Cricetulus griseus: one gene and its partner. The protein of the gene in region 2 purifies or fractionates together with the protein of the main gene of each other region. This does not show direct contact. Links are inferred from orthologs where the notes say so. Each region holds a gene or a part of one and is shown on either strand. Other genes may lie near its edges.

Region 1 (7,068 bases), on a different chromosome or scaffold from region 2:
CGGAGGGCCTACATGAAAGGTTGTTTCTTGAACAGGATGAGTTTCAACAGTGACTTGTGTAGGAGCTTCAGTGCCTGACCAGCCCAGAGGAGCCGGGAATGGCTGGCGCACCTGTGAGGGAAGACATTAAGGAAGGGTTATTCAGCACTGCTTCCAAGCTTAACCTACACCTGAGCATCTGCACTCAGGTGGGTGAACTTGGGGTTGGTGGCGGTGGGGGTTGTTGAAGCTTTTAACACACTAGATAGTTCTATACCATAAAATTCTATGTAAATTCCAGAGCAAAAAATGTTTTACAATTAAAATCAGCCAATTTTAAGAAGTTACACTCATGTCCAGGTCTCCATGTCACCGTCTACACCAGGTCAGTAAGCTTTCTATAAGGAACCACCAGGACATCTGGCAGGTCCATGAGAGCCTTCATTTCCCCTTGAAGTCCCTCTTCCTTCCAGATCTCTTGATACAATAAAAGGACTCGTATCCACCCAGATGTCTGACAATTCCTCCGGACTCAACCCAGCATGAAGTACCAAAGAGATACCTCAGACCAGATCCCAAATCTGACCACTTTTCTTACCGCCATCACCACTACCACTTAGCCTAGGCTAATGCAAAGGCCTCTTCACAAAATAAAAAATTTAACACCCCCCCCCGCCCCCCCGCTTCCACAGTTGTTCTTCTCAACCCATTGAGAAAAGCAAGACTATCCTTTCAAAACAAAAATCAACTCATTCCTTTACGGACTTGGATCCCAATCTCCCCAGACCCTTCTCACCCTGACCTGACCTGAGACTCATGGCATCTGCACTTGCTGCTTTCTCCCATCAAGAGCACGTTTATTTCTAATCTTTGCTTACATTCCCCTTTTAAAATCGCCATGTCAGTTCCTGAGTTCCCGGATGTTCTGACTCATGCTGCCCCAGCCCTCTGTGGCCAGGCTACTGATGTGCCCCTCTATGTACAACATGACTGTACCGGACTCTCCAGCCCCCTTCATGCTGGGCACAGCCATCAGCACAACTGTGGCTGAAATGAGCGTGACTTTAGATGTCACTCACTGTATCTAGTGCAGTTAGGTCTGTCTGCTGGGCACCATGGCCTGGGCAGCTGACCTGAGGGCACGTGGAGTCACACGGGGGCGACACAGCAGTGCTCTGGACACTGCATCAGCTGCTTCTCTGTTACACTCAAGGAGGGAAAACTCTTGCATCCTCTCAGATTTACTCAGATAGTGTGCAGTTAGTCTGTTAGTCACTATACCTCACGAGCCTTGGCTGCCTGCACTGGAGTCTGCACTGCCCAGGGCTTTGCCACCACCATGAAGGTAACTCCCCAGAGGCGCACACCTCTAGACTTTCCCTTTCTGTAAGTATCACTTGCCATTTTTGTGTTTTGCTGCTTACTTGTGTCAATGTAACCTCTGAAAAGGCAAAAGCTGTCTCTACCACTAGTTTAGCACAAAATGTTAAGTTCTTATTTAATAAAAGTTACATGGGAATGAAAAGTCCTGAAAATCCAGTAGGGGAGGACAAAACTGGAAGATAATCTCACAAAAGAAAATGCAGGTTGAACATCCTTACTCTGGTATGAAACACTTGAAATGAGAGCATTTAACAATTTCAGATTAGGGACATTCAACTGGTAAAAAGTGAACAGCTACAGCAAAATCTAAAAGAACTGAAATCGAAGTGCTTGGAGTCCCAGCACCCTCAGATAAGGAGTACTTGATACTGCCGTCCACCCTGTATGGAAGGGCCTTGCTACCCACGGGACAGGCCAACCCCTGATGCACACCTATAACCTTAGGCAAGGAGAAAGATGACACTGGCAGAATAAACAAATCCCAACACGGACTGCAGTAGGGTGCTGTCTGACAGAGCTACGTGCTTAGCATGACGCTCATGTGCTGGACTCATTAGCAAATGGTTAATTATAAAATTATAAACCAGGCGGTGGTGGTAAACACTTTTAATCCCAGCTCTTGGGGGGTAAGAGGCAGGTGGATCTATGAGTTCAAGCCCAGCCTGGTCTACAGAGATCCACCTCCCTCTGTCTCCTGAGTGCTAGGATTAAAGGTGGGTAACACCATTACCTCACCCCTGCCACACATATAAAGATTTTTTTTATTATGCCATTATAAATAGCAAAAATGACTGGAAGTAGACAAAATGCCCACTAATAAGCTATGAATGAAATGATTCATGAATATTTAGATAATATAACACCATGAGACAGGATAAAAGCATCCCTTATTTTGATATAGGAAGGATATCACATTCATGCCAAATGCATAAAAACCTAGATGTAAAAGTATGTGCGGTACGACAGCTTATATACAGGCTGGAGTGCATACCATACCTAGAGTAGGTGTTTGGATGTGTATAGAATATTGTATATGCATATAAAACACTGCCTGGCTAATACATATTATCTGATGACATATAATTAGATTGACTTTTACATGAAGAATATCTTTTCAAAGATATAAAAGCTACTAATGTTAGTTTGTACTAAACTAGTGGACATGATAAAGGACTTTTCACAACCCTGTGTGCTATTTCTTTTTTTTTTTTTTTGTTACCATGCCACTGTATCAACTGTTCAAAAACTGGCCAGCTAGATGGCTCAGCAGATAAGGCACTTGCCACTAACCCTGCTGCCCTGAGTCCAACTGCCTAGGACCCACACAACTGTGTGCACAGGCACCACTGCACAACATGGAGAGTGACTGTCTGAATACCCCATCCAAGGCAGGGGAGTCAGAGAGAGTAGAAAACTCTGCAGCATTTTACAGAGAACAGAGGGAGATGGGACTCTGAGAAGTGTGTAATTACCTAATAGAGTTTGGTGGATGCTAACAGGGATGACAACTATGTGAGGGTTTCTTCAGCAGAACCAAGAGGCCCAGTCACAGAAAGGGAACTACCAATCTAGCATAGGTTTTACTTACTCCACCAAGTAACTGCCTGGTCTCTCACCACAAAAACAAACAAACAAAAAAACAAACCACAATGTGGCAGACAGTGTGGAGGCATGCTGTCTCATAACATCATGAGCTCTTGTCTGAACAGGAAACCCCTCCCACTGTTCCCCGCTGGCACTAGCCCCTGCAGAAGGAGGCTCTGTAGCCCAGCCCCAGGCAGAGAGAGAGAGAGAGAGAGAGAGAGAGAGAGAGAGAGAGAGAGAGAGGGAGAGAGAGAGAGAGAGAGAGAGAGAGAGAGAGAGAGAGAGAGAGAGAGAGAGGCGCTGCGAGCAGGGAACCTCCTGCTCCCGCCCGCCCGCCCATCCTGCCTGCCCTAACAGAATGAATGACTTCCTTCCGTGCTACTTCTGTCACAGCAGCGAAGAGTGAGCAGGGTTCACATTTCTACCACCACCACCTGCTTCACACTCATTTTAAAGTTAGGTAAAAAATCACTTTAATGCTAAGGCTCCTGAAATCAGTAAGTTTAAAAAGAAAAACAAAGTTAAAAACAAAAATACAGACTGATTCAGAAACCAGGTCTGGGAGTGCAGTCACAAGAGGCGACGACAGAGACCCAGACTGTGTAGCTCAGGGAGACTGGCGGCATCTGCAGTCTCGGCACCACCAAAAAGTGGGGTCAAACTGCACGGGGCACAGGAGCTGCTGTGGCAAATGACGGAATAAATGGGGAAATGCCTGAAAGGGCAGTGGGGTGTATCCAGTGCATGCTCTCATCATTTCTACCAAGGAGGAGGAGAGTTACCAGGGTGTCCTCTCGCCTCCAGCAGTGAGGACATCACAGACACAAACATCCTAACAGCCCTTGGCAGCTGCCACAGCTAAAGCTAGTGGGCCATGACATGAGCCCGGGAGGGAGAGCTCACCTGGGGACTGTGTGTCTCACAGTCCATAGCCTGGACAGCAGCCGTGAAGTGTCCACCACTGTGCCGGTGCTGGTGCGTTGGGTCTGACCGGGCTCTCCCACTGTTGCTCGTGCCCGAGGATCCACCTTCAGTATCAGGAGAGGGAACACTTGTGAGCTTAGTGTGAGCTCTGCTCCTTACAACTCTTAACACAGGGAGGGAGACACTCAGTGCTGCTGTGCCCTGTGAAAGGCCAGGCTGACTACAACGCCAGGGCTTCAGAAGGAGACAAGTCCCAAGAACTCACTGGCCAGCCTGGCTCAAACAGGCGGCCGCCTGGTACAGTGAGACTTGTGTTGTTAGGGAGTAAGGCAGACAGTGTCATGCCTCCATGTGTGACCTCAGGGGTGTGCGTATGCACACTCAGATAAATGTACCACATGGCACATATAAAGACACACAAAACCTTCAAACTATGGTATTAACTTGAAAAACAACATGTTCCTGAGCCTCAGAAGACATCTCCCCACATCAGCCACTAATATAGCCAAGTTCGCCTAAGTCAAGGAAAAATTCAAGATGTTGAAAAATAACTCCATTTAAAATCACTTAGAAATTTAGCTAACACGTAGCTTTGTTTCCAACTGTCAGGCAGACAATTACCACACACATAATCACAGACTGAATTTGCTAACTATACAGAAAGGAGGTTCTTACAGGTGACCAGACTAAGGCCACACACATACAAACAACACTTAAGTAAAACAATCCCTTGCTTTACTTTATGAATTAAAATTTAAAAATTAGTTTATCAATACTTTAAAAGAATCCCACTCTAGCAAGCAAACAGAAAGCACGTGCAAGCAAGACCCGAGGTGAGTGGGCGGCAGACCTGAGCTGGATGACGTGCTGGAGGTGGTGCCTGAAGACTGCTCCATCGCGGGGCTGGTAGACACGCTGTTACTCGTGTTTGTACCTTCATCAGCTGTCTTCTTGAAAAAACTGTGCTGCAGGGCATAATAAGGTTGAATCCGAGTTTTGGGGTCATAATCAAGCATCCTTAAAATGAGGTCTTTGAACTTCAAGTAGTCGGCTACAGTATGACCCGATTCCCCAGCTCGCCGTCCGCCGGGCCCTCCTGTCTCTACTCCAAGGATATTATGAAGTTTACGGGTTCCTGGTGGTTTGTACTCCTGTTAGAGAAAACAAAAGCTGTCTCTAAGTTTTGTGGGGATGTAACATTTGCATGATTTACTCCACATATCCGAGGCACTTACATGTACAAGGCTTTGTGAGGAAGACAATTCCTGAGATGGCTAGACGCCCTACTTCTGCACACAACACACGTGGCTACGAAATCCAATACAGCTTTGCAAACAACTCAAGGCTATGAAGATCAGTGTAGCTCAGCAGCAAGCACACAGAAGATGGCCAGCCTATAGCAGCGCTCATACAACTTCACCCAGGAACATGATTGTGAAAAAAGCACACAAGCAAGTAAACACGGGGCGGCACAGAAACCACAAGTATAAAACAATCACTGTGAAGGTGTCTGTAGAAGTATGGGTTCTGACCTCTTCTACTCTGTACCTAAGTTTTGTTTGTTTGTTCTGAGACAGGGTCTCACTATGTAGACTTGCCAGGCCTACAACTAACTACATAGACTAGGCTGACTTAAACTCACAGAAACCTGCCTGCCTCTGCCAATAGTGGAACTAGGGTTAAGGGTGTCTACCACGATGCCAGGTTGCCTCTGCACCCCGAGAGCACACTGCACTGCCTCCCTAATGGTGGGGTGGCTCATTAAAGCTGTATGCACCACTCAGAGTGAAAACACATTGGTCTACACTAGTCTGCTCGGATACCCCACACCTCTCTAAAACACCAAGGTCACAGCAGAACCACTGGACTTTGGGTGACAGTGTAGGGATTTTTCAGATGGTCCCTTAAAGTGAAGAAGCAGGACAAATCACACATGAGCACAGTCAGAAGTGTCTCCCAGTAACCACAACCCCAGGCAGCCACTATCAGGTTAGAAGAGCCCTTTAATGGGAAGAGAGCCAGCAAGGCAGACATGAGCAAGGACAGTCCAGCCTAGTTCTGACCACACCCTGACAGCACATGTGGGCAGCCAGAAGGTGAACAGCTGGGCTGCTGGTGGGTGTCAAAGCACACAGAGCTCCAGACCCCTCCAGCCACAAGCACATGATGCCTGAAGGAGCCTCCTCCTCATGGTTAAAAAAAAAAAAAAAAAAAAACAAGCACAAACTGCACCAAACACTCAACTCCAGATTCAGCTAATGCCAGCCCTATCTATTCTAGTGGCCTGGCAGTGCACAAGACATGTGTGCTGCTTCCCACGGAAAACGACACTTAAAATCTCAACCATTCTCAAAAGAGAGACAGACTCTTAAAGAATTACACCAACAACAGAGCCCATAATTTAGTGGGGAAAATGGGTTATCAACCAATCTATACCAGTAAATGACCCAGGCAGTGAAACTGGCAGGCAGGTATTTTAAATAATGAATGGAAGGTGTATAGTTAAAAATGCAGACAGCACATGTGACTGGACAGAGTCTCAGAAGAGGAAACTGATTTTATAAGAAACAAGGACAGGTGCACTAAGCTGACGGCCATCTATGCAACTGAAGAGCTAGAGAAAGACTGAGCAAAGTGACTATCTGGTAACACCCGAGCACCTCCAAAAGAGATGAGCCCACAAATGCAAGGATGTCAACACACACCAGGAGAATACAAACAAATGTACATACACAAAAATCAAGCTCAAAGACAGTGTTTTAATCACCCCAAAGAGAAGGGAACCACATCACAGATACACAGTGCTAAGAGCCAACGTCAACCCTCTTCACAGGCACTGCAATCAAGAGCGGCCAGACCATCTTTCTGAAGGCGTGGGGCAGGCTAATCTACAACTCTAGACCCATGTCCCCACAGGCAGTGAGGACTGCATTCTCTCAGACAGTGACGTGAAGGAAAGCCTTCCTCCCCACGTTGCTTCCCGCCAGGTATTTATTAGTGGCAGGAAAAGCAACTAATATGCTACCAGGGATCAAAATGCCTCTCTGCATTGACAGAAACACACACACACACACACACACACACACACGCACACACGCACACACGCACACACGCACACACGCACACACGCACACACGCACACACGCACACACACACACACACACGCACACACGCACACACGCACACACACACGCACAC
Region 2 (7,068 bases):
CCTGAGCGTAGACCCAAGGAACTCTCTAGAGGGAAACCTGGACCGCCCGTAACTATAATGGAGTTTAGATTACATCCCTGGTCATGGCAGCGCAAAAGTCAGTCTCAGATTCCTAAAGGGACAAAATCTTGTGGGTTTAGGTAGTAACACCTCCCTAGTCAGTCTTAAATGAAACTATGCTTCAGGGATTGCCATTTAATGGCAGTAGGCTAAGCATTCAAAAGGAAAGCAGGGGTGGGAGACTGGGGGACCCCACAATGTGAGTGGATTCAAACCAGCCTAACTGTTTTTGTTCCAGTGTCTAAAGCCATGGGTTGGTTCCACATTCCTTGCCTATAGGATGTCAAAGGCCCTCAGATAGAGATGTTGGTCCCCTCCCCCTCTTGTTTTTTTGAGACAGGGTTTCTCTGTGTAGTCCCGAGTGTCCTGGAACTCACTCTGTAGACTAGGCTGGCCTTGAACTCAGAGCTCTATCTATCTCTGCCTCCCTGGTGTTGGCACTAAAAGCTTGCACCACCACCGCCACCACCATCACCACCACCACCACCACTGACTCAGGTGTTGGTTATTTACAGCAAAGGGAGGGAAGGGGGTCCCTGGGAAAGAGAGGGCTGACATGTATGGAGCACCTCCCCTCTACAAGGCTGCTTATGTATGCTCTCTTCTCTAATCCTCAGAGAATACTGATTATTAGCCCTACCTTCCGGAAGGAAAAGAGACAGTGCAGCTAAAGCAGATTAGACAACTGGTCCAGGGTGTCTTGGCTGAGAAGATGAGGAGGGGTTCAAACCTACACTATTGTCATTGTAACTTAGGCAAGCACTATTATATTCTTTATTTTTGCCTACAACTTGGGACTTTACATTTCATCTCTTGGTAGTGATCAGACTTTAAAATGTCTCTACAAGTGGGTCATTCGATATCAATTTTCCAGAACCTTCATAGAGTATGCCATGTGAGAGGCTTTCTCTCTTACACAATGAGGGCAAAATGCTGCTTGTCACACCACAAAATATAAAAGCAACTCTCTAGAGGGCTCACAATGGCTCAACAATGAGGGCCTGGCATCTGCACTCACAGAGAGCTGAATGTCAGTTGTAGCTGGTTTGCTTTGATGATGGCCAGGGGAGCACATGCTCCCTAAAAGACAAAGGGAATACACTCTCTGTGTGTTCTAGGCTTCTCTTAAGCTGACTGATTTCTGAACACTGGCCAAGAGCTTAGGGTCTAGAAGACATGTCCAGACCTCCTGATAACAATTCTCCTGCTCTGGCTGGAGAACTTGCTGGAATGCAGATACGGAATTTTCACTGGTAATGGGAAGTTTTCACAGGTAATAAATCTTTGGCCCTAAAATACTTCAAAGCTCTTCTTACAGCTTCTTCTCTTAGAAGATTCTAAGACACATGATAATACTGAATCCTAAGGGACCGTAGCTATTTTTCTTGGGTTTGGGGGCTCATTCCAGGTGGCCAGAGGACTCAAGACCACTCAGTCTGTGCAGAAACTTCAAAGCAGCCAGACGGAGAGGTAGGAGAGGGGAGTCAATGAGAACAGTTGTCTGCTCTTTCAACTGACTTACAACGGTGCTGAGCACGACAACTGCACTGGAAGCTTCCTACTGGGACTAGGAGTCTGCGCTAAGGCTAGAGCTCTGCAGCCCTTCCCATCACAGACCTCCCATGGTCCCAGAATGCCATCACCAGACCAGGGCTTGGGGAGAGGATGGTGCAACAGCTACTCACTAGCAAGTTCTTCAGTTTCAAAGAGCGTTCCTTCTTGAGGATTACCAGCGCAGCCAAGCCACAGAAGGTGTAGCCACCATGGGCTTCCATCCCTGGCACTCCACCAATGCCGCCTTCCCAGTTCTGGCACCTACGAGAGTGGGAAAAGGAAGACATGGCAAGTGTGTAGATGGGGACAAGTGTCCTCCCCATATCCTGGGTACAGAGAATAAGTTTGCTCTGATTAAAGCAGAAGCCATTACTCTCATGGATACAAGTATGCTGATTTATTAACTTGTATGCATGTATACATGTGTGTGTGCGTGCATGTGGAGGCCAGAAGTCAGCTTTGGGTGTCGCTCCTCAGGATAGCTATCTACTTTGCTTTTTGAGAGTCTCTCACTAGAACCTGGGGCTCATATTTTTGGCTAGGATGTATTGGCCAATCAATTCTGGTGATCCCCTAAATCTGCCTCCCCAGTGCTGGGATGACAGGCATGTGCCACAATGCCTGCCTTTTCACATGGCTATTGGGGGTTGGATTCAGAGCCTCATGCCGTGCAGGAAGCACTTTGGGGGCTGAACTATCTCCCCAGACCCTGACGTATTCATGTTTGCAGATTCCTTTCCCTAGAAAACAAAACCAAAAGACTTGGAGATTTAGAAGCTGTCCACTTATGTAAGAGAGATAGTAGCACAGGTTAGTACTCACTGGGGGAAAGTCTCAAAGTCCCTATACATACCAGAATCATCAAGTTAAAGTAAAATCGAAAAATAATTGCTGGCTTTGGTTATCTGTGAGTACCAGGTCTATTAGTGAGTGTGTTTTATTTTTGTCTAGTTTCTTCTTTTTAACTCTAGCTCTGGAGACCAAACTCAGGACTTCACAGATGCGGGTCAAGTGCTATACTACTGAGCCACATCCCACCTCTCTTATTTCTATATATTTCTCTTATTTCTTTCTTTTCTGTTTCTGTTTGAGATGGGACTTCATGTAGCCCAGGCTATCCTTGAGCTTTCTGATGCCCCTGTCTTGTGTTACCTCCACCCTTCAAGTGCTGGGATGCAGATGTGAGACACCATGCCTCAGATTTTGGGGGAGATGTTTTGTTTTTGTTTTTTATTATTATTATTTGTTTTGGTGGTACTGGAGCGCAAACCCAGAGTGTTGTACATGCCAGACAAGCAAGCACTCTACTACTGAGCCAGACCTCAGCCCACTCTTTGTTTTGTGACATAGGTCTCCCTAAGTTGCCCAGGCTGGCCTTATACTCACTCTGTAGCCCTGGCAGGAACTGCTTTGGGGATGCTCTTGTTTTAGGCTCTGGAGTAGTTGGAATACAAACCCACACTACCAGGCTGCCTGGCTTAAAATTCCTAACACACACACACACACACACACACACACACACACACACACACACACACACTTAAAAAAAAATTGAGCTATGTGTTACTGTGTTGCCCAGGTGGGCTCAAGTGATCCTTTCACCTCAGCTTCTCCAGTAACTGAAATAGCCGGGTGTGATGGCTCATGCCTGTAATTTCAGGAGTTAGAAGGCTGAGGCGAGAGGATTGCCTGGCTACAGAGGAGATCCTGTCTCAAACAAACATACAAACAATAAAACCTTAAGTATAAGACTGTTCCCAGCTTGTAAATGCTCAAAAATAAACTTTATTTTTAAATTTTAGGATTTTCTATATATTTAAAATATCTAAGATGGTGTAATAGCACACATCTTTAGTCCCCGTACCTGGGAGGCAGAGGCAGGCAGATCTCTGAATTGGGGGCCAGCCTGCTCTACATGAGCTAGTTCCAGACCATCGAGAGCTACATAAGACAGTTTCAAAAATCTAAAAAGTAAAAGAAAATATCCATTTATTGTGATAAATGTTATTTGGGGTTATACTACCTATTAATAGTGTGTTTTCTAATCAGAAAGCATGAGCATATATATGTACGTGTGGTGTGCATACATGTGTGCATATGTGCGTGTGCATGGCAGGTGTACATACACATTCCTGGGTGAGCATGCACGTGTGTGCAGGCTCGTGTGCAGGCCTGAAGTTGGCTTTAGCATCTTCTTTGATGGATCTCTATTTTATTTATTGAGGTGGATTCTGGGTGAGCCTGGAGCTCACCAATTCTGACCAGTCTGGCTGGTCTCACATTGCCCAGGGAATTGGTGTCTCACATTGCCCAGGGAATGTCCGGTTTCTGTCAGCCAAGAGCTGGGATTACAGGCAGCTGCCATGACTGCCCAGAGTTTACACGGTGCTGAGGATCTGACCTCTGGTCCTCATGTTTGCACAGCAAGGGCCTTATCTACTGCCGTCTCCCCGGCCCATGCAGAATCTATGGATCAGCCAGGCAGGGCCATTTCTAGGAACTGACTTTACACAATAAGCAATAGTGTGTCCAAGGAGCACACTGTAAGAATGTTGGCTACATTCCTTTTTTAAGAGCAGAGTGTCAGGCCAACTTAGAAGTTCAAATGTGGGGGAGGAGGGGCTCTTCTATAAATTATGGCACATCTGACAACAAACTACTATCCAGTGTTTAAATAGTGTTACAGATCTGGTTATGAAAATGCCTCACTTCTTATAGGAAATACTAGAAAATAACAATGTGCTATATTATTGAATTTCCAGAACACTGGAAGAAAATACATTAAAAAAAAAAAAAAAGGTCTGAAGCCACACATGCTGTTAGACCCAGCACTTGGGAAACAGATACTGGTGGATCTCTGTGACTTTCAGGTCAGCCATGGCTACACAGTGTGCCTCTGTCTCAAGAAAAAGAAAAGCAACAACAAAATATGTATGATAACTAGTTTTAATTGTCATCTTGACACAATCTGGAGTCACCTGGGGAGAGCTTCAATGAAGGACTGTCTAGAAGGCTGGCCTGTGGGCGTGTCTGTGGGAGAGTGTCTTGACTGTGTTCACTGATGTGGGAAAGCCCAGCCCACTGAGGGCAGCACTGGATCCTGGGTTGGGTCCTGAGCAGTGTAAGGGTGGGGGAGTGGGCTGAGCACTAGCAGAGTAAGAGTGGGAGAGTGGGCTGAGCACTAGTGGGCACACATGCATCCATTTCTTTCTGCTCTTGACTAGCAAGTTCCTGTTGCCTTTACTTACTTCTGTCTATGATGTAACCTAGACTTCTGAGCTAAAACAAACCACCACCACCCTCCACCAAATGATTTCTGAAAGGATATTTTTATAAAAACAACAGGAAACAAAACTAGGACTTTCTCCTTGCCTAACTATAACAAGCATGGTTTTTTTGTTTGTTTGTTTGTTTGTTTCTTAAAAATTTTATTTATTAAGTATACAGTCTCCTGCCTGCATGTGTCCTGCAGGCCAGAGGAGGGCACCAGATCTCATTCAAGGTGGTTGTGAGCCACCATGTGGTTGCCGGGAATTGAACTCAGGACCTCTGGAAGAGCAGTCAGTGCTCTTAACCTCTGAGCCATCTCTCCAGCCCAAATAGCATGTTTTATCTACACACTACAGACACATGTTCTGCTTTCCTTTTCTTGTTTTTTACACAAAGAGGAACACGATACAACCTCTTCTGTGCCTTGCTTTTTTTTTTTTTTTTCAGTTAATAAAACTCTTTGGAAATGACCATGGTGGCATATTGCCTGTAATCCCAGCACTTAGAGGTAGAAGAAAATGAGAGTTCATGGCCAAACTCAACTATATAGCAAGTGCAAGGCCAGTTTGGGCTTCATGAGATCCTGTCATCAACACACAGTTGGGCAACATAAAGGACTGACTACCAGAGCCCAATAAAATGGAAATAAGAGGATGTAAAAGGTACAAATGGCCAGGGTAAAGAAAGCAGAAGAGGCAGGGTGTTGGTGGCACACTCCTTTAATCTCAGCACTCGGGAGGCAGAGGCAGAGGCAGAGGCAGAGGCAGAGGCAGAGGCAGATGTCCTCTGTTCCAGGACAGTCAGGGTTACACCTGGAGAGAGGAGGAGGGAGAGGGAGAGGAAGAGGGAGAGGGAGAAGGAGAGAGAGGGAGAGAGAGGGAGAGGGAGAGGGAGAGGGAGAGGGAGAGAGAGGAGCTTGCAAACAGGAGAGGACATGAACACAGGCTAACAACAAAACCCTAAAAGCTAGATGACAGGGCTAAGGGTCCCTAAACAGCTGGTTAGAGAAGCCTTCCTCAGTTCTGGGTCAGTGGTGGAGAAGCAGTGCTCTTAAACTCTGAGCCATCCCTCCAGCCCCTTGGCTCACTTTCATGTAATGACTTCTCATCAGCCTTTTAGTGATGGACTCCATATGAACAGAGTAGCTAAGCACTAGATGTGTGCACAAATCTCCAGTATGAACGAGAGACCCATCCTCAAAAGCAAAGGAGACAATGCTGGGCACAGAAGAAAACTGCTTAATGTTCCGTCTTATTTTTTATTTTTTAAAGACTTATTTAGTTTTAGTGTGTGGGTGTTTTGCATGCATGTATGTTTGTACACCGTGCGCAGTGTTCATGGAAGCCAGAAAAGGGCATCAGATCCCCTGGGAACTGTAATTATAGTAGGTTGTGAGCTGCCATGTATGTGGTTGCTGGGACTTGAACCCAGGTCCTCTGAAAGAGTAGCCGGTGCTCATAACTGTTGAGCCATCTCTGTAGCCTCTTAAAGTTGTATCTTAGATAATACCATATGAAGAAAGTTACAAGGATGACAGAGCAGAACATCTGAGAATATAAAAAATGAGTACTCAGGAGGGGGGCAACTGAACTCTGGAAAATTAAAAGCAAGATTAGAGAATGAAACCGCAACAGAAAGATGAGAAGATAAATAGTAAGGGAAGGTCTTGGAAAATACAAGAAAAAGTTAAGAGATAGAAACAGACCCTCAACGGGCTTAATAAAAACCATTAGGTCAATCTGCCACATGAGGCCCCGAATGTCCCTTTCAACATTAAGCAGAGAAGCCTGCTTCCTCAATTAATGGTGGTGAATGTAAACACGTACAGCTGATAAGGAGATGAGAATAAGTGATGTTGAGCTCCCTCTACAGCTCAGAGAACATCTGACCAGGGTTGGAAAGAATATAAGGGCTGTGTAATGCTATGTTAGGCAGAACACAGCCATTGCAGTCACGCTCTCACAGCACCTGTGGCTGCCTGCAGTGGACCTGCACAAGGTTTGTCAATGGTTAGTTATGGATTGGGGGGGGGGTGGCTCACGGAGTCCCACCCCTCCCACGGGAGGGGCAGTCATTATCTTGAGTTGTATGTATATCTATTGAGGAGCCCATCAAGCTCCAATGGATAGCCCCAAAGCCATGGTTACACAGACAACCCTGGATGACAAAACAAAACAGAAAGAC

The links.
Region 1: the proteins of Fntb (region 2) and Dyrk1a purify together in Homo sapiens (affinity purification with mass spectrometry; 3 studies listed by BioGRID, counting the BioPlex papers as one). This does not show direct contact. The link is inferred for Cricetulus griseus from reciprocal best matches to the Homo sapiens genes FNTB and DYRK1A.

The regions. Positions count from the first base shown.
Region 1 is NC_048597.1:3,176,501-3,183,568, forward strand, and holds part of Dyrk1a (dual specificity tyrosine-phosphorylation-regulated kinase 1A), read right to left. Parts: intron 5,022-7,068; coding exon 4,721-5,021; intron 3,975-4,720; coding exon 3,850-3,974; intron 112-3,849; coding exon 1-111. UniProt on the Homo sapiens protein: Dual-specificity kinase which possesses both serine/threonine and tyrosine kinase activities. Exhibits a substrate preference for proline at position P+1 and arginine at position P-3.
Region 2 is NC_048598.1:126,622,308-126,629,375, forward strand, and holds part of Fntb (protein farnesyltransferase subunit beta), read right to left. Parts: intron 1,876-7,068; coding exon 1,746-1,875; intron 1-1,745. UniProt on the Homo sapiens protein: Essential subunit of the farnesyltransferase complex. Catalyzes the transfer of a farnesyl moiety from farnesyl diphosphate to a cysteine at the fourth position from the C-terminus of several proteins having the C-terminal sequence Cys-aliphatic-aliphatic-X.